3 linked regions of the Tamandua tetradactyla genome follow. The protein of the gene in region 3 interacts with the protein of the main gene of each other region in a pairwise test. Links are inferred from orthologs where the notes say so. Each region holds a gene or a part of one and is shown on either strand. Other genes may lie near its edges. The genes, in order: LARP1B, FAM13C and KIF2A.

Region 1 (7,796 bases), on a different chromosome or scaffold from region 3:
ACTAAACAAGATTAGCATACAGATGGAGGAAGTCCTTTTTGGTCCCCTGCCTGAATTAGGACAGCAGACACCATGGCAGGCCTCTTGGGTGGGCCACACTTTGGCTAAAGGGAAGACCAAAGTGGTCTTATCTGGATCAGCAAAGACAGCAATACAACCGCCAGTGCAATCACCCTAAAAGTAGAAGAAAATCTTTTCACAAGGACTGAAGAAGCAAGAATCTGTCTTGCTTATTTATGCAGGTTCTAAAATAGAGATTATTCATGATTTATACCCTGAAATAGATCCCCGTGTTTCCTGTATTATTTCTACCTCTGGTAATAAACTTCCTGACAAAATTTTGTGGGTGGAATTCCTTTACTTTACCCTAAGAGTAAAAACATGCAATTTGGCCAGAACAGTACTGGCTTAAATTTGTTATCAGAGTATAATGAATAGTGCCCCCTATCCCTCTCTAGAGTATCCTAGTTTTAGGATAATTTATATGGACATGCTACTAATAGGTTACTGTACAAATTGGACACTTCCTGCTTTACACCTACTCAGAACCTAAAGGACCTCTGTTCCCATTTCATTAGTTCTGAAAGCTGCAAGTTTGCTTAGGAAAATCGGAAGCCAAAGGTGCCCATGTTATAATTTTAGATGCCACTCTGGTATGGAAGTGGAGTCCACCCACTTTCATTCGAGGCCCAGAAGGCTTGTCAGAAGTCAACTAGCTAGTTAGGAAGAAATACTTTGGACTACCAAATCTCTCAGAACAATGCATATTTACACCACAATCTCTTATCTGAGTTATCTAAGTTATTCAACTGCAAATTTGTCCAGGCAGAAAAGTCAGCTTGGAGAGACTATAAAGCTACAGCCCTCCAGGCCTGCAGAACGATATTCCTGCAGGAGCAAATTAGACTTCCAAAGACACAAAGAATTGCCTACAGGCAAACATCAGCAAAATCAACACTCCTACAGAACCACACCACCTTCAGGCATCACATTGTTCTTAATCCCTACCGCAGACCACCAAAGAAGTACAGGTAAAATTAATCACACAAGGCTGAAAGAATATTTTTAACAAAGTCGTATCCACTTAAAATCTCTAGTTTCAAATCTGTCAAATTGACTTTACAATCAACACAAGGCATTCAATCTTCGGTAGGTCACAGAATATAATAGATAATTATGTTTAAATCTAGATATAACAGGAAGGTGAGAAACAGCCAATAAGATGAATTACTAGGGCTTTCCTTCCAACTAAATTTTTTTGGAGATCTTCCTTAAGAGTGTTCTCTTCAGTGAGGGACAGGAATTAACAAATCTCTGCAGTTAGGAGAGAATATGGCAGTATTACATTAGGCACAAATTTTAAGTACTTTTTTCTTCAAGTGTCTCAAGAATTATCAAGAATTAATGACCAGTAGGATTTCTGCGGAAAAGATAAAAAAACTCAATTAACTCAAGAAGTTCCTCTTAAGAACATACCGTATCTTTTATTTCATTTGATCCCCACAACTCTGTAAACACGCTTATTTTTTTTCCATCCCACTGTTAGTCTTTAACTTGAAGAAGGCTCGCAATAAGTAGTTGCAATTTCTACATAAAAATTCAATTAGTTTATTGCAAGCTAAGTTATAAAACAAACCAAAACTCTGGTCTTAGTTTTTCCCATTTTAACTCAATAAAACCGTAGTTGCTAGAACCAAAATGAAGAGCCTCGGGCCATATTGCATTGATCAGCACTCCAAATGAAGGGGCATAATCTCATTTTCACTATTTAAGAGAGCTGTTAGAAAACCACCATTTAAGAGAGCTGTTAGAAAACCACCATTCACCTAACGTGCAATCCACTCTCACGTCAACTAACCTAACTGCAATTTTTCCACCATATCCACAACTCAAAGCTTTTTAACAGGAGCTGCAGTATCCCCCCTTTTAATATGGCTACTCAGCGCGTCGAAAACATTGGGCTTTTTCAGCTCTTCAGTATTCCACAATAAGGTGACAACTGCGGTTCCACCGACGAATAGATTCGCTTGCTCCGACTCGGTTCTGCCTTTTTACAAAGTCCGCACAAACTTTTCCCTAGATGAACTGCAGCGTCTTCCTAAAGTTAGCTCCTTTCCCAAGCCACGCGCACGTGGGAAGCAAACACACCCCAGGCCGCGCCAGGCGGGCCACGCGCCCGCTTGACCCCCTCCGTACCCCGCCAGCCGAGAAGAACCTCGGGTCCCACCTCTACCAGCAGCTCCCTCCGAGATGTCCATTTATGTAAATATGCACTACGAATGACACCTTGGAACCAAATCCCTCCACAGACCGGCCAAGGAGGCCTGCCCCTCCCCCAGCCCCCTGCCCGTGCCCCCCCAGGGGAGCCACAGACCTGCCTCCTGGGTGTCCAGCGCGGGCGGCAGCGGCCCGAACCCGGCGGGGGACAGGTGCTGGGGAGGCTTTCTGGTCCAGGGGTTTTCCTTAGGCGGCGGCGGGAGCGCCTGCAGCTTCTCGGGGCTCGCCGCCGCCGCCTCCTCCCGGGCGTCCTCCGCCGGCGAGTCCCGCGGTGGCCGGGGCAGGGGCGGCGGCGGCTCCCCGCTGGAGGGGCGGCCGGGCCCGCGTGCCTTGTGCGCCAGGTGCAGTGCCAGGGGCCGCACGGGCACGGCCGCCTGGGGCACGCTGTGTCCCAGCACAGGCGCCGGCGACGGCTCTCCCCGCGCCCCTGCGCTGCCGGCCGCCTCCTGGCCCTCTCGGTCGGCCGGGAGCGTCTGCTCCGGCGGCCGGCTCGCCGAGGCCGACAGCGAGTCCCTCTCAGCGGCCCTCACGGGCGGCTCCTCCCGAGGGTGCGCGGTGGGCATCGGGGCGCGGTAAGACATCGTCCCCTTTCCCCAGCCGCCGCAGCCCGGGAGCGCCCGGGGCCAAGGAGCCCGGCTGCCCGTGTCTCTGACGCGATACCGGCCGGCTCCGGCCTGAGGCAGAGAACCCGACAGCCCGGCCGCCGTCGCCGCCGCCACCCTCGCCCGCGTCGCCCGAGGCCGTGCAGCGCCCGGCGCGCCGCCCCTCCCCGCCGCGAACGGAGCGCTAACCGCCCGCCGGCGCGGCCCGCCTGGGCGGCGTGAGCCCCGAGGCCGCCGACGCGCGCCGGGCACCGCAGCGGGGAGCCGCGAGCCCTCACCTAGCGCGGGCGGCGGCTGAGGCGCGGCGAGCCGGCCGGGACGAGCACCTCAGGCCGGGCGACAGGGGCGCGCGCCGCCGAAGCCGGTAACCGCGCGCGGGGCGTGGAAGAGCGCGACCCGGGAGGACGGACGGGGGCGGGGCTTCCCGGCGGGAGCGTGACGTGGCCTCGCCCGGCCGCCGCCCGCGGCCGCTGACTGACAGCCCCGCGGCCCGCCGAGGGGCGGGAGGAGCGTCCCAGAGACCGCCGCGGGGTGCGGGCGGGCGGCGGGGTGCGTCCCGGGCCTTGGGGCTCGCGTCTGGCCGCGCACGTGGCCAGGCCGCGGCGGCCCGGGGTTCCCCAGGCGGAGCCGGGCAGAGGCGGGGCGGCCCGCTGCCCACCCCGGGCGACGCCTCGGCGGTGCCGACCGAGCCGGCCTGCCGTCGCCGGGCAGTGCCCCGCGGAAGTTCCCCTGGCGCTTCGGGCGCGGCGGCCGCCGATAACCCTGAGGCAAGGCAGAAAAGAAAGCGGTGCTGCGCGTGGGTGACTTGAAACCTTTGCCCGGACACTTGTTTTAGTGCCCTTCCCCGCCCCGTTGCCCACCCACGAATGCAGAGGTGTTTTTTTTTTTTGTTAAGTGCGCTTGAGTAAAACCAATAGTTAATATTTCGCCGGCGTTTTTAATTTGAGGAGATAACCCATGGTTACCAATTAACTACTCCAAATTTTTTTTCCTGGAATGGGTATGCAAAAATAGTACAAATATGTTTTGAAAAAAGTTCCGATAAGAGCTTTTTACTTGCTCAGAATCAAGTAGTAATCAAACTGATTTCATGTGCGCGTGTTTGTGAGTCCGGGGCCGGGGCCGGGCCGGGCGCAAAGATATTTTTGTGGCTGAGGGCTCGCCCCCCACCCCTTGCCCCAGGCCCCCAGTCCCCCAGTCCTCCCCGATTTCCCTTAGAATGGTCAAGGCAGGCATGTAATTAGTACATGACACCCTTCCCATCGATCATGCTCTAACTAAATTAAACTCGAGATTAATTTTTAATTTACTCATAAACTGCACTAGGGAAAAGCTACTTGTTTTCCTAAAACCAGTAAATAATCCATACATTACAACAGCTATAAGGCTTTTCTTGTTTTCAGTAATCTCCTGTCCCTAACCAACCTGGGGAACCTGTTTCCTATTAAATAGGGATTGTCCGTCCACATGTATTCGCAGAGAGACCGCCGTCTTTGCCAGCTCTGCGAAGCTTTATTTTTAACTACCATCTAGCTGCTTTTCCTGCTAGAATCAAACCTCTGGAGTCCTGCCAGTTAATGCTTGCCTCTCTTAAGATAGCCTATCGACAGATTCACTTTCGCTGTGACTCAGAGAACACGTTGTAATTTACCGTCCGTTTAAATACATGTGGATTTAACCCTCATTCGTTTGAGAAAAGGGCTCTGTGGAATGGTTTTCCAAAGCTTGATTTTGTATGGGCCTTGTAACCATGCTTGGTTCTTTTCTTTGTTGTTTTTAGGTGAGACGTCATACATGTCATCGATCGTGGCGATGTCAGCACAACAGTGGAAATTAAAACTACTGAAGTATATACTTGACGGTGGGTTAGAATGGCAAATGCTATGTTGTACATATTACCACAATGAATTAAAAAGAAAATCATACAGGGGCCTTCTCAAGTAAAGGAGCTTTACTGAAGGAAAAACTCCTTCAGGGGAACTTTCTTGGAAACAGGTTTTAGTTGCAAGGAGAGAAGATCTGGAGGGTGATTGTAAACTCAAAAGAGTTCTAGAGAACTCTAGGTTTCTTCACTGTAGTGCAGTGCTACTAACATCAATCAGCTACACTACCGAGTCTGCTACTAGTTGGTCCTCTTTAAAATGCATCCTAATAACGCCTGCTTCCACATAACAGCCTCTTGCAAACAACTTCACCTGTCTTCTGTTTGCCCTGTGTATTTCTCTCCACCCTTCTGCTCTTGTGCCAGGGAGGCCTGACCTTGCAGATCCCTAAAGGACTTCCTCACCTTCCGTGGTATGAGGATGGGTTCAGTAGAGGAAGAGTTCAGCGGGAGATTGGAAGCCAGAGGAGAGTAAGGTCATAGTCTTCATTGCCCCAGCTGGGTCCTGGGTTGACTGCAGTGCCCACTTTATTAATCTCCAATTTCCCTTTGCTCCCCAGGCCTCGGAGTAATAACCACCATCCTTATCTTGTTACCTTATCTCTGTTGGTTTCCCTGACTCTTGCCCACACCTCTGTAAATGGTCCTTTATTAACTCTCCTCAAATAACCCAGTTTGAGTTTTCCTCTTTTTTGCTACCCATTTGCCATTGCTGAACCTCCATTCTCTAACCTCATTCTACCTCGGCTGCTTACTGCCAGATTCTTTCTCTGCTGCTCAATTCACATTCAAGGAAGAAAGACTGATTGGCTCACTTTTGTTTCTTTCAAGGCAGATTAGGCAAATCATTAGCCAATCTCTGGATTATCTGCCCTTGGGTAGTTTACTCTCCGGGCCTAGAGGAACAGGTTATTTGGTTCAAAACACAGCCATAACTCATTGGGATGCGGAGGAGTGCTAGTTTCCTATAGGTATCTGTGACAGTGACCTTAATTACATTTTATTTTATTTTTCCCTATCTTAGTGAATGGCACCACACATAAAGCTGAAAAGCGAGCGATGCCTAGGACTCGGCCTTTCTCCGTTTAGGCCTGTTTGATAAAGTTGTGAGGATTACATGAGATAATATGTGTAAAATGCTTACCACAGTCATTAGCTTAGTGCTAGCTATTTTTATTGCTTTTAAATCCATAGATTTAGCCAGCATAAGACAACTTCATTTTACAGAACTACTGAGGTTAAAAGCCTGCTTTGTTTTTTGGCTTTTGTTGTTGTTGCTGCTGTTGTCGTAAAAGAGAACTTGAATCTAGAGCGCAGGTATAGATTTATCTTTTCGAAGGAAGAAGAATGGTTCTCTAGGCCCTCAGAGGTTATGAAACACTCTCCTTATACAAACTTGATCACATTGTTCAAGTGAGCCTTTAAAATATTAATCCTGTTTTTCCTGTTTAGAGTATGTTAATGAATCATGAGATGAATAAACCCGCCCTTCTCCCTCCCCAGGTGTCTCAAGGAAATTGAAGTCCCTTGCGAACAACGTACTGCTTTTTATTACCAATACCAGAGATTTATTTTCAGGCTTGTAAAAAATCCAATGTGCAAATAGTTGTATTGGATGCTAGAGAAGTTTCAAAGAATGCATTAGATATAATCTGTTTCAGAGACCTACAGTCTAACAAGAAAATAAAACTGAACCCAGGAATTTATAACTTCCTATAAAAAGTAAGTTTTAAGGAGAGCTTTGGATTTTTTTTCTAAAGATATACTGACTGTCTTTGCTCCCAAGATTCAGAGCCTTGGGCCCTGTTTCTCATAATAATAGCTTCTATTTTGTACTAAATGTTCAGATAAATACTAAATACTATTATTTCTAACCTTCAAAGCAGGGTTAGTGCTAATGCAAGTCTGAAACCCTCCCCCCATAATTTCCATTTGACCCCGCCCCCTGTTGAATACAATAACTATAATTCGAAAGTACAACTGACATTCAATTTTATATAAAGTGGGAATAAATGCACTTTTAGAAATTTTTGTTTGTTCATTTGTTTTACTGACCTGTAGCATACAAACAAAAATGTAAAACACTTTGCTTCCTATGTAAACCTAGCTTCAATTCTAGGCTGTCTGCCCACCTGATTTCTCTCCTAAACCCCTCGTAAGTAGGGAATTGTGTAGAGCTCTTTACTTTTAGGTAGGTTCTAATAGATCAGTTTTATAGAAGGAACTCAGCCAGTATAGCAGGGTTAGGTACTGAGACTCAAGTCTTCCTTTTCTGCCACACTGTTTAACCTTTGCTGTACTAAAACTTGTAATAGCACAATGATAATAACATTTAATCTTTTAAAAAAGTACTGGAATAATATACTGTAAGGTCAAAGAAACATGGCTTTTTCTCTCTTCAAAGAACCTGGATTTTTAAATAAGAGTAGGAGAGGAAGACAGTAACCTTTTCTAATTCTTCCTGCTATCCAGTTATATGTAATATTAGCATTGTCTTATGAAAACTGGTATGACAAAATTGAGGTCTTTAAATTCAAGTTCATATGAACTTCAGTAGCTGACATCAAAAAATAAACTTTCATAAAATTTTAAAAAAAGAAAAAAATAATAAGCTTTGTAGAAAAACTGAGGGAAACTTTTTATTCGTTTCTTACATATTTCATTAATAATAGAGAGGGCTGTGTGTTGGTAACTGGGCAAGGCTGTAGCCAGTCCCTACGACTCCTGCCTGCAGGGAACTTACACAGAGAAGTAGATACTAGCACAGTGGCTTTCACACTTCATGACTTGCTATATATTATTGAACCCAAAGTTTTATACAACAGTACTTATCCTTACTATACATAATACGTTCTGATGTGCTCTATCCCATCGTAATACGTTCTGATGTGCTCTATTCCATTTCTCTCTATGTATATATATATATATAATATATATATATATATAACATATATATATTACATATATATATATTACATATATATGTAAAGCTCCAATTTGACCCAGCTACAGATTGTAACCTACGGTTTTTTAAA
Region 2 (7,943 bases), on a different chromosome or scaffold from region 3:
TATTACATAAAATAGGGCTGCACATGTAACATATATCATATAATATATACATACACACATTGCAAGCATCATGGAAAGGACCAGGTCTTTCTTGTTCATGCCTAAAACAGTGGCAGGCATGTCATTTGTTTATTCATTCATTTGTTCAATAAGTAAAGTAGAGCAATTCATTTATTTTGCTTTTTTCCCCTGATATACTCAGGAGCTTGTCTCAAAATTCTTAGTTCAACCTAAAGTTAATAGTTTTGGTGTTTAGTGGTTTGAGAAACACTGGTTAAAAATGATGAAATACTTTTCTTTGCTGCAGAATCTCTCAGAGTCCAATATGCATTGGATAATTATAATACACATTTTTTCAAAAATTTACTTTTGACTATGTAACTCTTTTCTGTTTCTTTTCCTGGACCATATGGGAATCTATAATTCCACCAAGGATACTTTGAGAAACGCCATTCTAGAAGTTATGTCTACAAAAAGAGAAATGTTAGTTTTTCTGCTTCTCGTTTTGAACTGTCCTTGAACTGAGTTTAGTCAAACTGAGGATCTCCAAAATAATCAGATGTTGTATGAATTATAGGGAAGGTTAGTATAAGACTGTTAGGTTAGGTTTGTAATTGGTTAGCATCCTACAGTATGATAAGACTACAGACTTTGAAGTTATCTTTTCTTCTGGACAGACTGGACAAAATTTGCAAGTTATCATCAGTATTGACCTATTCTTAATTGAATAGTGTAGCATATATAAGCTAATGAATGACAAGCCAGTATAGACCATTTCTAAGCCTGATTTAAGATGAAAAGAAATAATGCTGTAAGAACTAGTTTAGAAATACAGATTATAAGTTTTACACTGCCAAATTACAAGTTGGTTGGTTTGTTTCTGGGGCACTTGTGTTTTTAACCATAATCAACTATATCTATAAATTGTTTTGATTATGAGTATTACTTAAAACTTAATTTTGTTCCATATTATTCTTGAGTTGATAAGAATTCTTACTTCTTCTCTGTGGACATTTATTGGATACCTGAATTTATTGAATTCAATTGTTATTTCATGTTATTTTCAAAGGATCCTCATTACAGTGAGAAAAGTCTGACCTTTCTCTGCAGTAGAGTATTTGTAGTCAGTATCATAGCCAATTAGTGAAAGGGGTTTTGGAAAACTGGCAACCTTTGAAGCAGTAGAATCGAGAAGGCTGAGTGTAGACATATTCTTATCAGTCTCAATAAAATAGAAAGAACCTCAATTTATAATAATTTTATTTATTATATAAAGTTATTTATAATTCACTTATAAATAATGAAGACAAATTTATAGTGAAGAGGTCGTTTCTTAGCACTCTTGAACCCAGCTTATATGAGATAGTGGGTGGTTTTGGAGCATGTATGTATACACACACACACACACACACACACACACACACACACACCTTATATTTAAACATCTGAGGGTCGGATACCTCTAAGCTTATGTGAGTCCATGAAGTTCTAGTCTAAGACCATATTAGGCTTTTATTCAAAAGCTTTTAAAAATATTCGGAGAAAGGAAAGTAAAATTGCAAAGGACCTTAATGAAACCTGTTTTTCTTTGAACACCCAATTTGGGTTTGTCAAAGTATAATTTTAAAAAGATAAAAACATGAGTCTTGTAATACTTGGAAATATCCTAGAGTATATTAAGCAGATAATCAAAAAGTATTGGCAAAGTCCCCTCAGGGAAGGGAGAAAGAGTATGAAACTATTAAACCTTACCATCAGGGAATCCCCTGATACTGTGTCAAACTTTAGGGACACCCAGATCAATAGGCCATGTCCTCAATCATGAGGCTTACTCTTGTGAAGCTTATGTAGGTACTGGAGAAGCTTAGATTACCTATAGGCATGCCTAAGAGTTACTTCTGGAGGACCTCTGTTGTTGCTCAGATGTGGCTCAGTCTCTCTAAACCCAGCTCTGCAAGTGAAATCATTGCCCTCCCCCTGACGTGGAACATGACATCCAGGGGTGATGGTCTCCCTGGCGATGTGGGAGATGACTCCCAGGGAAGAATCCAAGTCTGGCACAGTGGGATCAACTATTCCATCCTGACCAAATGGGGGAAAAGAAGTGTAATTAATAAAGTATCAGTGGTAGAGAGAGTTCAAATAGAACCAAGAGGCTACTCTGGAGGTTACTCTTATGCAAGCTTCAGGTTACCTATCATAACCTGCCAACCCCCAACCAGGACCATTCCAGCCAATCCTAAAGAACACCTAGGACAATATATAAGATTCCACAAGGGTTCCATGTACTCGAGTAACTTTCCAGAAACCTACAACCTCCAGATGGGTCTCTACTCTAGATAAGTTCTGAAACCTAGAGGAGAGAGCCTCTCCAGAACATCAGATAGTTCCATCTCCCTACCCCATATTAGTGCCAGACCCTTCCAATATGAAAATTTAGAATTGCCATAGCCCAAGCACCCCTAAAGAGAGGGACTGAAAGATCAAAGGTGATGGTGGAGTTACACATAGAAGATAGGATTTAACAAATGAATATGAATGCTGAATCATTAAATTGATATCTCTTTTAGTCTCCAATATTTTAGAGCAGCTAGAAGTAAAAGCCTAAAATTGAAATTGTAACCTATGTCAATGTCTGAAATATGTTCTACAACTAATTGTGGTGCTGTGCTTTGAAATTTATAGCTTTTTGGTATATATATTTATTTTTCACAAAAAAAGGAAAAAAATGTCGATTGTGATAAAAAAAAGTATTTACGCCCTTTAGCCTCCTATATTCTGGAGCAGCTAGAAGGAAAAATATGAGAGGATCGTATGGTAGCCCATGACAAACTCTGGGCTCTGGTCTGTAACCACTCGTTTAAGAGTGCTTTGAAAATTATTGCTTTTTAATTTTTTTGCTTTGTATATATGGTATACCATACAATAAAAAAAAAGTTAAAAAAAATGAGCCAAAAGCATAAGAGAACAATGAATATGCCAATCAACTGTATTGTTGAAAGCCTGACTATTAAGTTAATGAGAGACAGTGAATTTCCATGATGGAATTTGTGGTGGGCTGGCATTCTGATGCTATATGTATAGTTGTCTCTGGGTGTCACTCCACTAGGGGGGTGTTGATACTGAATAACCTCTAGATTTAGAAGTTATCAGTGCTGCTTGTTCCTGCTCTGTTATAACAGCTTATATGTATGAATAAAAAAATAAAGAAATAAAATGCCATAAAAAATCATGACTCTCATAAAAATGTAGGTCAGGTGTCAAAGATCTATTAACTCATTAATGAGGAAACCTGTAAGGTTGTCAAGCTGGCTCTAAAAGAGCACTTTTGAGGATCTGAGTAGTTATAGGCATTTTAAAAGAAGGTTATTATAACATTGTTAGGTTCGATTCAAAATTGGTTAGCATCCTACAGTGCAACAAAACAACAGACTTTGAAGTTATCTTTTCTTCCGGACAGACTGGACAAAATTTGTAAGTTAACATGTAACTTCACAGTGTCTGAGATTTAATCACTAGTGAATAAAATGAAACACAAGTACGTTCTCCTAGAGAATTAACAAATACTTGAATACATCTATTAAACAGTGCTTAGTTTCATGACACTGAAAGGTCATACTTCTCCCCTTATTTCCAGGTTTTGGGTAATTTTTCTAATTATCCCAAAATAAAAATTTATGGGTGTTTTTGGTGATGAATTAACTCACTGATACAACTAGTTTAGATTAAAAACCACCATCTCAGCTGATTTTGGGAGAAGAGAGATTAAAAAAGGAGGGAAGGGAAGAAGAGGAGTAGGCTGTTTTTAATTCAAAACTTAAAATAAGCATCTGGCACAGATGAGCACTCCTTCCATACCAAGGCCAACGTGGCAAGAAAAATGACCAGGAAAAGAGGGCAGGACAACCATTCTCGGGGGAATGAAGGGAGTGGGGGCTGATAACCTTCCCCTCCCCCAACAAAGCTGCCTTTATTCAAAGGAGGAACTTTCGTTGGTTTGATTTCTCCATCCATTGTAAAGGTGCCTGTGGATAGAACTCAGGTGACTTGCTCCTGGGAGAAGCAAGTCCCACCCCTTGCACGGGTCCTAGTCACCTGCTAGTGCCTGGAAAAAATTTCTCCACGCGCCCTACGTGGGCTCATTCACAGCTCTGTGGTCCGTTGCCGGGGCGCTTCCTTTTAGGAACTGAAATAGCTGTGCAGACAGATCGAGTGTGATGCAGAGAGCCCTCTTTCAGAGCTCTTCTTTTCCTTGGCAATAAAAAAAAAAACAGTACACAATAAAACAATTAGAAAAAAAAAAACCCACGAAAGCAATGTCCCTCTCCCCCTTCTCGTCCCCTCCCTGCTTTTCTTGACGATGAATCTCTGTGAGCCTCCGACCCTAGGTAGAGCAGCTCAGTAAAATTGGTAGGAGACGTCTGGAAGAAGGCAAGTCTCCTGGGTCTCTCAGCACCTGGACAAAAAAAAAAAAAAAAAAAAAAAAAAGCAGTCGGGCACTCCTATTCCCAAGCCTCAGAGTGGCTGGCAGCAGAAAGGCCTGAATTAAACCCAGCGCCTGGGCTCGCGAGGCCGGGGTCGCGCGGGAACTCCAGGTGCTCCTCCTGGGGGCCCGGGGGTCCCGTGGTGCTTGTCCCGCCACGCGAGCTCCCCGGCTCGCTTCCCACCGCCTCGCGGGCTGCCGGGCTTTGCGGTTCGCCGGTGCGGCTGGGCCCCTGCTGGGGGTGTCGTTGCGAGCATGTGCAGACAGCAGCCCAAGGTAGAGCGAGCGCGCCGGGCAAGCCCTGAGACTTGCTTTGCAATGCCATGTTTGTGTATGTGCTCTAACTCCCCGAGAGCAATCAGGGAGACGGCTCCCCCGCCGGACTTAGCTGATGTTTTCTTGTTTCTGTTTCAGCCTTCAGGATAATTCCTTCGGCAGCACCGCTGTGACAGAGTAAGTGATTCTTGGCATTAAAATAAGACTTGCATGCTTTTCTCTGGAAGCAGCTACTATCTTGAAGGTACGGTCCCCAACTGCTCGTCGTATTAGATGCATTGTCTCTCTGTAATCTGGAGCTGAGAAGATCGCGAGACGTGCTGACTGATGGGGCCCAGAAATCTTAATAGGTTAAAATCAGCCTTTTAACAGCTGCGAGAGAGATATTAAAATCAGCTGAATGCATGCGGGAGCTAAATGCTCCAAAATATGTGTTCTTGGAGCTAACATTTAAAAAAATCTATTTGACATGTTAGAAAGGAAGCTTTGTTATATTTTGCCAACATCGGTGTCAGGTTTCATGGAGTGCACACTGTATACATTAACAAATAGGAGATGGATGTGAAATTACTTGAACTGAATGCAGGCATGTGATAAACAGGCTAAACTTATCTTCACCATCTCTTGTCTCCAGATTTTTAAGACTACAGCAGAGTAAACTTTTCTTGTATGTCCTTTGTCTTTTTTGTTTTCTGATCTAAAGACCCGAATATAGGGATAATGACTAATCTGACCCTACAGTAAAAGCTATTGATTAGGGCAACTAGCACCGTTTAAGCCTGGGATGAAGGAGTGTAATGTTCTACAAAATACCAGCAGGCGCAGTATTATTTTTATTGAATATTTATAGCTCATTGCTAATTCTCATAATTGCTTCCTTAATATATTTTATTGCATTTACTATAATATACATTAAAATTAATATGTAGTGTGTTTTACTAATAGTGCATGTAGTTTATATATAGTTTATATATGTGTATATGTATGTATGTGATGTATATACTACATCTAGCAATCTGTCTCTAGACTAACTCAGGATGTTTACTTCTGGGACCTTTTTGTAGAAGTCACTCTAAACAGCTTTTCAGGAAAAGGGCATATATAGGTTTGTATACTCAGCTACATTTAAGAACAAAATAAATGCTGCATTTAACACAGAAAGCCCAAATAGGTTGGAAGCTGTTTGTTTAAGTTCTTTGGAAGACTAATAAATAGAATTTGAATGTCAAGTCCTATCACTGCCACTTGGGGATGGAAGGCCAAAATCCTACAGTGCTTCCCAGTCCTTCTAGTTCCCCACATTCTTTTGTTTCTCTGTTTGGATGTGCTGTTCTCTTAGTGTTCAGCTTTGAGCTCATTGGAATGGAATCAATTTTTAAAAAACAGTATTGACTTTAGAAGATGCAATGCAAAATACTCATTTGGGCCTGCATCCTATTAATGATATTGCTTGGTAACCTGTGCTGCAACTTTGGTTTTTTAAAAGTCTGAGAAAGGAAGAGGGATGCGTGCCAAGGAAGGCAGGCAACGAAAGCCGAGGCCTTCCTGGTTCAGGTGCACAGGTGCTGCCCTCATGCCTTTGCTGGGCTTATAGGCACCAAATACTTCCTGGGCCTGATTCTCGAGAGCCCTGTGTGGCCAAATTCCCCCACTCAGCCCCTATGTAGGCATAGCACCCTCAAAATGGAGACGCTTAGTTCCAGATTTTACATGGCAATATTGTTTTTCTTAAAAGTTTTGCAGTTAAATGCTGGGAAGGTCTGGTACCTTGTCTTTGGACACACCCCAAGGAGTTCTGATTGCATAAGATCATGTTGTTACTTTCAGAAAAGTGACAGTGATTTATTTTAAAATGCACTGAGTGACAATTGGAATGCCATCTGGCTAATTTACAAAACCTAAAGTGCATATTTAAAACATAACAAAAGCTTCATGTGTGCTACCAAACACAGACCAGGGTCATTTTAAAACTAGCTTTTGACTCATATAACAGTTTCTCCTTCCTACTTTCCTCCGCTACACGAACATTTTTTTCTTCGATCCCTGAACTTGACCAGCTGGGCCAGGGTGCACAATACTGAGACATAAGCATAGCAGGTGCTCAGTAAATATTCCGGTAAGGTCTTCACATAGGCAGAGCAGATACCTTCCTCTCTTATATTTTGGATACCAAGAAAACATCCTCTTTCTCCTGCCTCCAACCCCAACCCTAAAATTCAGGCATTTATTTTCTTTAGTGCCTGAGATTCCACCTAGAGATGATTTCTTTTGGATTAAGGCCTCTGGTGGTGAACCCTTATTAAAATGGAAATTTAAAAATATGTGCTCCTGGGAGGGGGATCCAAGTTGTCATTAATACTTTAATATGAATTACTCTATCAGTTATTCCCTGCTAGGCAGGGGTCTTAAAAGACTCCTAGGGAAGTGGAATTGGGAGGGATTCTAGGACAGATTTTATTCACTTCTAGATTTCTCCAGGCCTGGCACTGTCTGTGCAGCTCTGCACCAGTTCCATTTCTTTTTCTACCCAATTCTTCCGAGATTGGAATGGCCTTGCCTTTTCCTTCTGTGTCCACTTTTATCCATTACTTTTCCATAGTCATTTCAGATGTTGCTCTGGCTAACCTGCAATTTGAAATGAAGCCTAGAATGCAGTGAATTCTGATTGGTTACCCTCTGTTTCAGCGGTTCTCATACCCAACTCATCGTCATACTCAACAGGGGAGAAGGGACTTGTGGAGAATTCAGTTTCCAGGCTTTCTCCTAAAGTGGGAACTCAGATAGGAGATTGTGTTGGAGTCAGCCAAGCCCTGGACTGGCTTTTGGAAACTTTTAGGTCAGTATTAAACTTTTTAGAAACATACTCATTATGTGGGAAGAGGGGCTGCCTGGTTTAAAAAGTTAAGTTCCTGGGCCCCACCCTCAGAGAGTTGATCTAGTAGGGGTGGGGCTAGGGATGCCGTGCAGGCAGTGCTAATGCAGATGGTTCTAGGGTCACATTTGGAGAACGCCATGATGCTTCGGGCTGAACAGAAGTCCCATTCTCGTGCTGAAGAACTACATTCTTCTGATAAGCTGTCCGAGGCCTCTCTTTTTATTTGTTCTAAGTTGGAAAAGGGAACCTCCCAGGGTGCTTCTTTCACCATCATTATTCTAAGAAATCAGTAGTCCTCTCTCAGTTTAT
Region 3 (7,979 bases):
CCCTGGACTAACTATGTAAGGTTTATGTACTAATGACCCCAAAGGAAAAAGAAATCTGGGCATATAAAGATTGGATGGGTTACAATAAAGTGAATGGTTTATCAATTAAAAATTGATAAAATAAGCCAACAGCAGCCATAGGACATGACCTGATGGAAATGGTCCTTGAACAAGACTATTCTATCAGTGAAGAGTAGGATAGAATAGATTGGGTAAAGATACAGGCAGATTAGTAAAGTTCTTGCTCTCTTCTTGATATGAGGTGATAAGGGTCAGAGGTCAAATTGATAATTGTTAATCAAAAAAAATTTTTTTAATTAATTAAAAAAATTAATTTCAAAGTACATTTTAATAAGTACTTACAAAACAAACTTCAAAGTATGGCATGGGTTACAGTTCTACAATTTCAGATATTTCCTTCTTCCTGCTCTAATATACTGGAAACTGAAAAGAAATATCAATATAAAGATTCAGTAGTCATACTTGTTTGTTAAATCCTATCTGTTCTATTACAACTCCTCCCTCTCATTTGATCCTTCTCTCAATCTTTAGGAATATTTGGGCAATGATCATTCTAATTTCATGTTGAGAAGGGATACTGACATCATGGGGTAGGGGGATGCAAGTGGTTGACGTTCTTGGAGAAACTGGTACCTATGGATTTCAGAGTGTTCTAGTTTGTTAGCTGCCAGGATGCAATATACCAGAAATGGAATGGCTTTCAAAAGGGGGACTTTAGTAAGTTGCTAGTTTACAGTTTAAAGGCCAAGAAAATGTTCCAATTAAAGCTAGTCTATAAAGTGTCCAAATTAAGGCACCAACAAGAGGTTACCTTCACTCAAGAAAGGCCAATGAAGTTCAGGGTTTCTCTCTCAACTGGAAAGTCACATGGAGGTCATGGTGATGTCTGCTAGCTTCCTCTCCAGTCCTCTTGCTTCGTGAAGCTCCTCGGGGGTGTTCTCCTTCATCTCCAAAGGTCACTGGCTGGGGGACTCTGTGGCTCTCTCATCATTCTAAAAAATGACTGTCTCCAAAATGCTTCCTCTTTTAAAGGATTCCAGCAAACTAATCAAGACCCTCGTGGAACGGGTGGAGTCACATCTCCCCCTAATCAAAGGTTAATACCCACAACTGGGTATGTCACATCTCTGTAGAGATAACCTAATCAAGTTTCCAACTTACATTACTGAATAGGAATTAAAAGAGATGGCTATTTCCACAAGATTGATTGGGATCAAAACATGGCTTTTCTAAAGCATATAAATCCTTTCAAACCAGCACACAGGGTTTCTCTGGCATAGGAACAGTTTAGAAGTTTTACGTTTCTGAAAAATAAACTGAGTGAAACTATTATAGAGTCTCACATAGAGCCTTGGGTATTCTTTAGGGTTTTCAGGAATACTGTTTGGTTAGGGCTTGGTATACTATGACAATTTGTAACATCTAGCTAAAGCTTGCATAAGAATAACCTCCAAAAGAGCTTCTCCATTCTATTTGAAATCTCTTAGCCACTGCAACCTTATTTTATTACATTTCTTTCCCCTTTTTTTTGTCAAGAAGGCAATAATTGTTAATTTTATATCACTGGATATAAAATTGTAATAACGATTTGAGGATTGTAGTAGAGTACTGGACTATTTCCTATAGGATGTTGTTCCAGTTTGCCTGGTGCTGGAATGCAACACACCAGAGACGGATTGGCTTTTAATAAAAGAGGATTTATTTTGTTAATTCTTCAGAGGAAAGGCAGTTAACTTTCCACTGAGGTTCTTTCTTACGTGGAAGGCACAGGATGGTCTCTGCTGGTCTTCTCTCCAAGCCCCTGGGTTCCAACAACTTTCCATGGGATGACTTCTTTCTGCATCTCCAAAGGCCTGGGCTGAGCTGTGAGTACTGAGATGAGGAATGTCCAGCTGCTTAGGCTGTGCTACATTGCGTTCTCTCATTTAAGCACCAGCCAATTAAGTTAAATGTCACTCATTGTAGCAGACACGCCTCCTAGCCCACTGCAGATGTAATTAGCAACAAGTACCATTGGCTTATGTCCGCAGCAACAAAACTAGGTATGCTCACCTGGCCAAGTTGACAAATGAATCTAACTAACACGGATGTATTACTTCATTTTTACCTTATATTATACTTAATAAATACCAAAGCATGATCACATTTTACTTTCATTTGACTCTCACAAAAACTTTGACAGAATGGAAGTTATTAATACAGGTTGATCAAAGAGGTAAGTAACTCAGATGTAAGCAGTTTACTAAATTAACTCATTGAGTTCCTACTGTGTGCCAGGCAGTAATCTATTTAGGGTTGTATATCTTGTTAATGTCTGAGCCAGAGTCAGAATTTTTGATCCAGGGTCATTGAGGGAAAGAGGCACATTGCATTCCTTTATGGCTGCTCTTCAGGGGGCCATATATTAAACCCTATTAAACCCATGCAAGTTTTGGTAAATACATGTGCTGCAGCGTACCAAAAACATAAGCTTTTAAGTATGATTATAAAGGAAAGATTTTCATGTTTGTTTACCTTGGGCACATAGCAAATCTCATACATTTTTATGGATGAGGATGATGTATATATTTTTAAATACCTTCATTTATGGTTGAAAGCCTACCCATAGGAAGTAAAGTATGTGTCAGCAACCATGTATAAAGCATAATATTTTATGAAACAATTTTAAGTTTAATAGCTGTACAGCTTGATTACTTTGCATTCTTTAAATAATTTGCAAGCAAATAGATGCTTTATACTTCACTCATATAGACATCAGAGCATGAGTTATACTAGACATGAGCTAAAAAAAAGTTCAGATAAAACCTAACTTAAAAAAAAGTAAAAATGGGACCTTGATTTGATCAAACCCTATTCTGAAAGAGGTCTGAAACGTACCTCTGTTTTCCAAAAATAATGGAATATTTGGAATATATAAGCAAGAATTAGTTTCTTCATGGTCTACTCAGAGTTTATTTTATAGAAAAAAATTTTGCCTATTTTAGAATGGATATGTGACTTTCTTCTTTTGACAAGAATACCTCCAATATGTTCAAGTCCTTAAACAAATTTTCTTAGGATCAACTTGCTTTGATTTATTATTGAAAACTCTAGGTGCACACATACATGCATATATGTACTTGCACACATATAACCAGATCCCAGTTTTTGAATTTTGAAATTATATTTTTAATGGTTATTGCAGGGAGATTAACGAAGATTGGGGAAAAAGTAGGGCAGAAAAAGTGTGTTTTCTTCACAAGTCCCAATACTAGGAGCAAAAGTCATGCTTTTGGAGGATTTTACACGGTGCTATAAACACGGTTTCCATGATCCCGGTTCACATTGCCTTCTTGCTCTTTCAGGATGGAGAGTCTTGCCTTCTATGTTGCTGATGTGGTCAAACTAGTCAAGTGACTCCGCAGAAAAGGATCGTTCCTTAGTCAACCTGATGTGTCTGCCCTCTGTCCTTGAGTCACAGCCGTTGGCTCTGCAGTCCAGGGCCATAAGTCTTGAACCTTGAGCAGAGCCAGGACACCAGCATCTGACGCATCATAAACGGAAGAGTCAAAGTAGCTCCTCTGCAGGGTTTCTTTGTTGAGCAGCGATGAGCTAAGAGGCAAGGCCATGAAAAAAGAGAATATTCATTCCGGGTCTTAGGGTGTGTGGCACTTTATAGGTGTTTCTTTCCATCTTTCAGAACGAGATGGGAAACCTGAGGAGGGCTACTTGGGCTAGCCACCTCCAAGTGGCAAATAGTGATGACACCATCAGATAAATCACCAAGCACGTGCTGTCAATGGCCTGTCGCTAAATTCACATGCCTTAGCCCCGCGCGCCATCCGGAAAGCCCTGAAACTAAGGGCTCTTCATCCATTCTGGCAGCATCGCCAATTCGTGGGAGCCAGAGTAACAGGAAGAGACCCGCGCGCGGGTCCCCGCCTCTTCTAGGCCGCGCGCTGAAATCAAACGCGACGCCGACTCGTGACGGAAACGCCCGTGCACTCCGGTCCTCTGGGGAACTAAGACTCCGCCGCCGCCCGCCAGATCCAGCCCGCCGTCGCGGTACTGGGCGGGGCCGCCTTGAGGCAGCACCGAAAGGGGAGCGGAGGAGGAGGAGATGCCGGAGGCGCGCTCTGCGCAGGCGCGCGGCGCCCCGCCCCCCTCCCCCCGGCGTCTGCTCCCCGGCCGGCGGCGCGGGCCCTCCCACTCTCCCCGCGCCGCCTCACGGCCCGGCCCCGGCCCTCGCTTCACCCCGACGCCCCGGCGTGCGCGTCTTCCCGCCGGCCTGCAGGCCGGGCACCTCCGCCCGCTTCCCCGCCGCTGCTCCTCGCGGCCCCGGATCGCGTTCACGCTGTCGCCCGGGCCGGCGCGGCCGCGGGCAACCGCTCCCCCTCCCACACCTACCCCGCCCCCTCCCCGCCTTTTCCGCCCTCCTGTCCCCCTCCCTCGGCCGGCTGCCGCTGCTCCCGATGAGGTGATGGCAACGGCCAACTTCGGCAAGATCCAGATCGGGATTTACGTGGAGATCAAGCGGAGCGATGGTGAGGCGCGCTGCGGGCCCAGCCGGCCCTGCCCGGCGTTGGGGTTTCCGAGACGCGGACGCGGGCGCGGGCTGCCTCATGGATCGCGGTGCCGGGCGGTGGGGGCAGGCAGGCGCGGGCCGCGGCGCTTTTGTGTGTGGCGAGTGTGCGGGTGTGCGGGTGTGCGGTGAGGACGGCGGTGGGCTCGGCCCCCGGCGGCCGCTGCGGGGTGGGGGTGGGGAGGCTCCCTGAGGAGGGCGTGGGGGCTCGGGGGCCGCGGGTCGGCGCGATGGAGGGTCTCGGGGCAGAGCCAGCAGGCGGCCCCTTGGCTTCTGCGGCCATCTCCATCCTCCCGGCGGTTCCGTCCTGGGAGGGAACGGGCTTGGTTAGGGATGACCGTGCCGCCCGTTTCCCCCTGTCTTTGCGTTTTACCGGCCATACATCTGACGGGGGGTGGCGGGGAGCACTAGGGATTTCAGCTTTTCGGGAACCGACTCCTGGTCCGGAGGCCGAGCTGGGGGGTGGTCAGGACCGTTGGTGGTTGTCAGGCCTCTTCGGCTCTCGTTTCTGGACCATGTTTCTTTTTTTTGTGAGTCTTTTCCTCCGAGAAGAATGTGGAGAAGATCTTGCTCGGCCCCATGACCGGGGTGGGGGAGCAGTGGGAAGGAGAGGGGAGCACACAGTCCCTGCGAGGGTGGGGGTGGGCGACCGGATGTTGATATTTTCACACCCGAGGAGGAGGTAACTGAGAGAAAAGTGGAAGGGAACGTGAAGACACATGCCTTATTTATTTTTTTTTAAAGCCTCAGGCTTACATATCTTTCTGTAGATTCCTCTTGGGGAAAATGTCGTTCATTAGCTTCGAGTGAAGCGTGAGTTGTGCCAGCCAGATTTGAAAATAATGTATATTGTAAGGGAGGAAATACCTGGAGGGAGATAGGTAAATTTTTTTTTTTTTTCAGTTTGAATATTGAAGGGACTACGGGTGTGCATGCAGGGGTGTGCGGTTTCTCTGCCTATCTATACCCATTTTTTAAATTTGTAGTTCATTTATTTTCACTTAGCCTAGTCAGTAGGAGCATTGCTGTCTCAACCACATTCTCTTGGTATCTACCAAGTTTGACCGAGTTATGTGAAGCTAGATTGAATTTTATCTATGTATCAGAAGACTGTGTAGCTAATGATTTTTTTCCTTTATCATGTTCGAGATAATCTGTCTCAGCAACTGGAAGAATCATTGTCCTGTGTGTGAAAAGATAAATTATACCATGTGGAACATTGGCAGTTACTAATAACACTAGTGAGAAAGAGATGTCTGCTTTACTTGGGTTGGCATTTCTTTATATTTTCTCTTGAAACTACTTTCCTGATAACAGTGTTGTTAATGTAATTTCTTAATTAGGTGAATATCAGTTTCCTGTATACTAGCAAAAGTAGGATTTACATATTATGTTTTAAATTTTGGGTGCAATACATTCGTTGACTGTTTACGTTCTTATAAGCCTTTAATTATGACTGTGTGTCAGATGTAAAATCTGTTATCAGAAGAAAGTAGAATTCCTATTACAGTCAAGAGGGTGGTGCATTTTTCAAGGTTTTTTTTTTTTTCTGGGCTGACATTTTTTATTTAGATGTATTGGGCTTGAAGTAATTTTGATTCTTTTGGACTTTTAGGACAGAGGCTTTTAGCTCCTTCCCTACTTCAGCTTATATCAGAAATTCCAAGAAATATGAGACCTTTGTGTTTTTACATATGTGCTAGTAAACTAAAATTATGCTTAAAAAGCAGCTTTCTCATAGTAATTGTAAAGGGTTTACTTACAAGGTATATTATCCTAAGTTATAGCTATGTAATACTGTGCATATTTATGGTGCTCAGATGTGAAATGGAGTTGGTGGAAGACAACAGATAGAGATCTTGTGAAGAAGGGAATGATTATTCCCATTAGATGGTTGTATTTCTCAATAGGAATTGATTTCTTAGAGACGCCTCTCAATTTTTTCCTTTTTCACTTTAAAGAAGCTGTTTCGCTTCCTCCCACTACTTCAGCAGATCAGTATTGGATAAAACATAATGGTTATTGTAACAAAAATAAGCTTTGTAGTTGGATGAGCCCTAATTTAATACTTGAGACAATGGAAATCACATGTGTGAAGAAGGGCTGCTTGAGACTGCTATTAACTGGTGACTAGATGTTTTTCTGCATGCTTGCTGATAATGCTTGTCTCGGTTTCAGACCATGCTTTTTTCATCAGTAGTGCTCATATATTAATAAAACATATTCCAAGGACAAACAGGGAAACCAAGATGGGCTTATTCCTGTCTTTCAAGATTTTGCTCAAAAATTAATCTGAATAAGTCTTAACTGATTCCTAAAACTAGATGGGCATTCTTCCCTTGGATTTTCTAAGTCACTCTGTATCTCTCACGAGACAGCATTTTCTTAAGTATTAATATTTGGGCACCGTTCTCTTAATATTATATTTTCAGACTGTACTAAAGGAAGAGATGGTATGGAGAATGCAATAGAGGGATGGTAGGTAATCCTACAAAGTGCCAAGGTATTTATTATAGCATTAAGATACTTACCTGAATTCGCTTTTGTATCTCCTTTGTGCCTAGCAGAGTTCCTTGAATATTTTAACTTTTTATTTGGAAATAGTAAATATAGGACAGTTGCAAAAATAATACAAACCTCATGTAGAGAACTTGAACATATTGCCAAGGCCCTCCGCATACCCAGATCTGTCAGTTTTAACATTTTGCTGCTCTAGTCATATCATTCTGTCTATCCATCTATATCTTCTGAACATTTGAGAACAAGTTGCACACATTATAATCCTAGAACATAATACTCCCATATTCATATCCATGACCTAGAATATTCACTTATGTAATCAACTTTAGTCCAGTTATCGAGTTAGCGAGTTTACATTCTATATTCCAACTTTTTCTTATGTCCCAATAATGTTCTTTTGAGCATTTTTTCCTCCATTGTTAGATCCTGTCCAGTAGTACATACGTATTACATTTAATTGTCATTATCTCTTTAGTTTATGTTTTCTTTTAATTGTGGAAACATACTTCATAAATCTTCCCATCCCAGTTCCTTCCAAGCATACCATTCAGTGGGATTAATCGCATTTACAGTGTTGCAATACCCTCACCACTATCTGTTACTAGAACTTTCCTTTCATCCCAAAGAGAAGCCCTATACTTATGCATTAACTCCACATTGCCTCTACCCCCCCCCCCAACCCCAGTAACCTGTCCTCTACTTTCTGTCTCTATGAGTTTGCTTTTTCTCTTATATTTTCTTTGTGGTTAACATGAAGCTTAAATTACACATCCTAGATCTATAACAATCTTGTTTGGTTTGATACTAACTTAACTTTAATAGCCTACATAAACTGTGTTTCTATATCCCTCCATTCTCCACTTTTATGTTTGTTCTT

The links.
Region 1: the proteins of KIF2A (region 3) and LARP1B interact in binary tests that used the Homo sapiens proteins (3 or more experiments, as listed by UniProt). The two-hybrid records come from large-scale screens. The link is inferred for Tamandua tetradactyla from reciprocal best matches to the Homo sapiens genes KIF2A and LARP1B.
Region 2: the proteins of KIF2A (region 3) and FAM13C interact in binary tests that used the Homo sapiens proteins (3 or more experiments, as listed by UniProt). The two-hybrid records come from large-scale screens. The link is inferred for Tamandua tetradactyla from reciprocal best matches to the Homo sapiens genes KIF2A and FAM13C.

Annotation. Positions count from the first base shown.
Region 1 is NC_135348.1:40,333,304-40,341,099, forward strand, and holds the start of LARP1B (la-related protein 1B), read right to left. Parts: upstream 3,217-7,796; 5' UTR 3,158-3,216; intron 2,517-3,157; exon of another isoform or gene 2,375-2,516; intron 1-2,374.
Region 2 is NC_135339.1:37,931,841-37,939,783, forward strand, and holds the start of FAM13C (protein FAM13C), read left to right. Parts: upstream 1-4,769; 5' UTR 4,770-4,874; coding exon 4,875-4,936; intron 4,937-7,457; exon of another isoform or gene 7,458-7,595; intron 7,596-7,943.
Region 3 is NC_135335.1:109,443,943-109,451,921, forward strand, and holds the start of KIF2A (kinesin-like protein KIF2A), read left to right. Parts: upstream 1-4,321; 5' UTR 4,322-4,480; coding exon 4,481-4,544; intron 4,545-7,979. UniProt on the Homo sapiens protein: Plus end-directed microtubule-dependent motor required for normal brain development. May regulate microtubule dynamics during axonal growth. Required for normal progression through mitosis. Required for normal congress of chromosomes at the metaphase plate.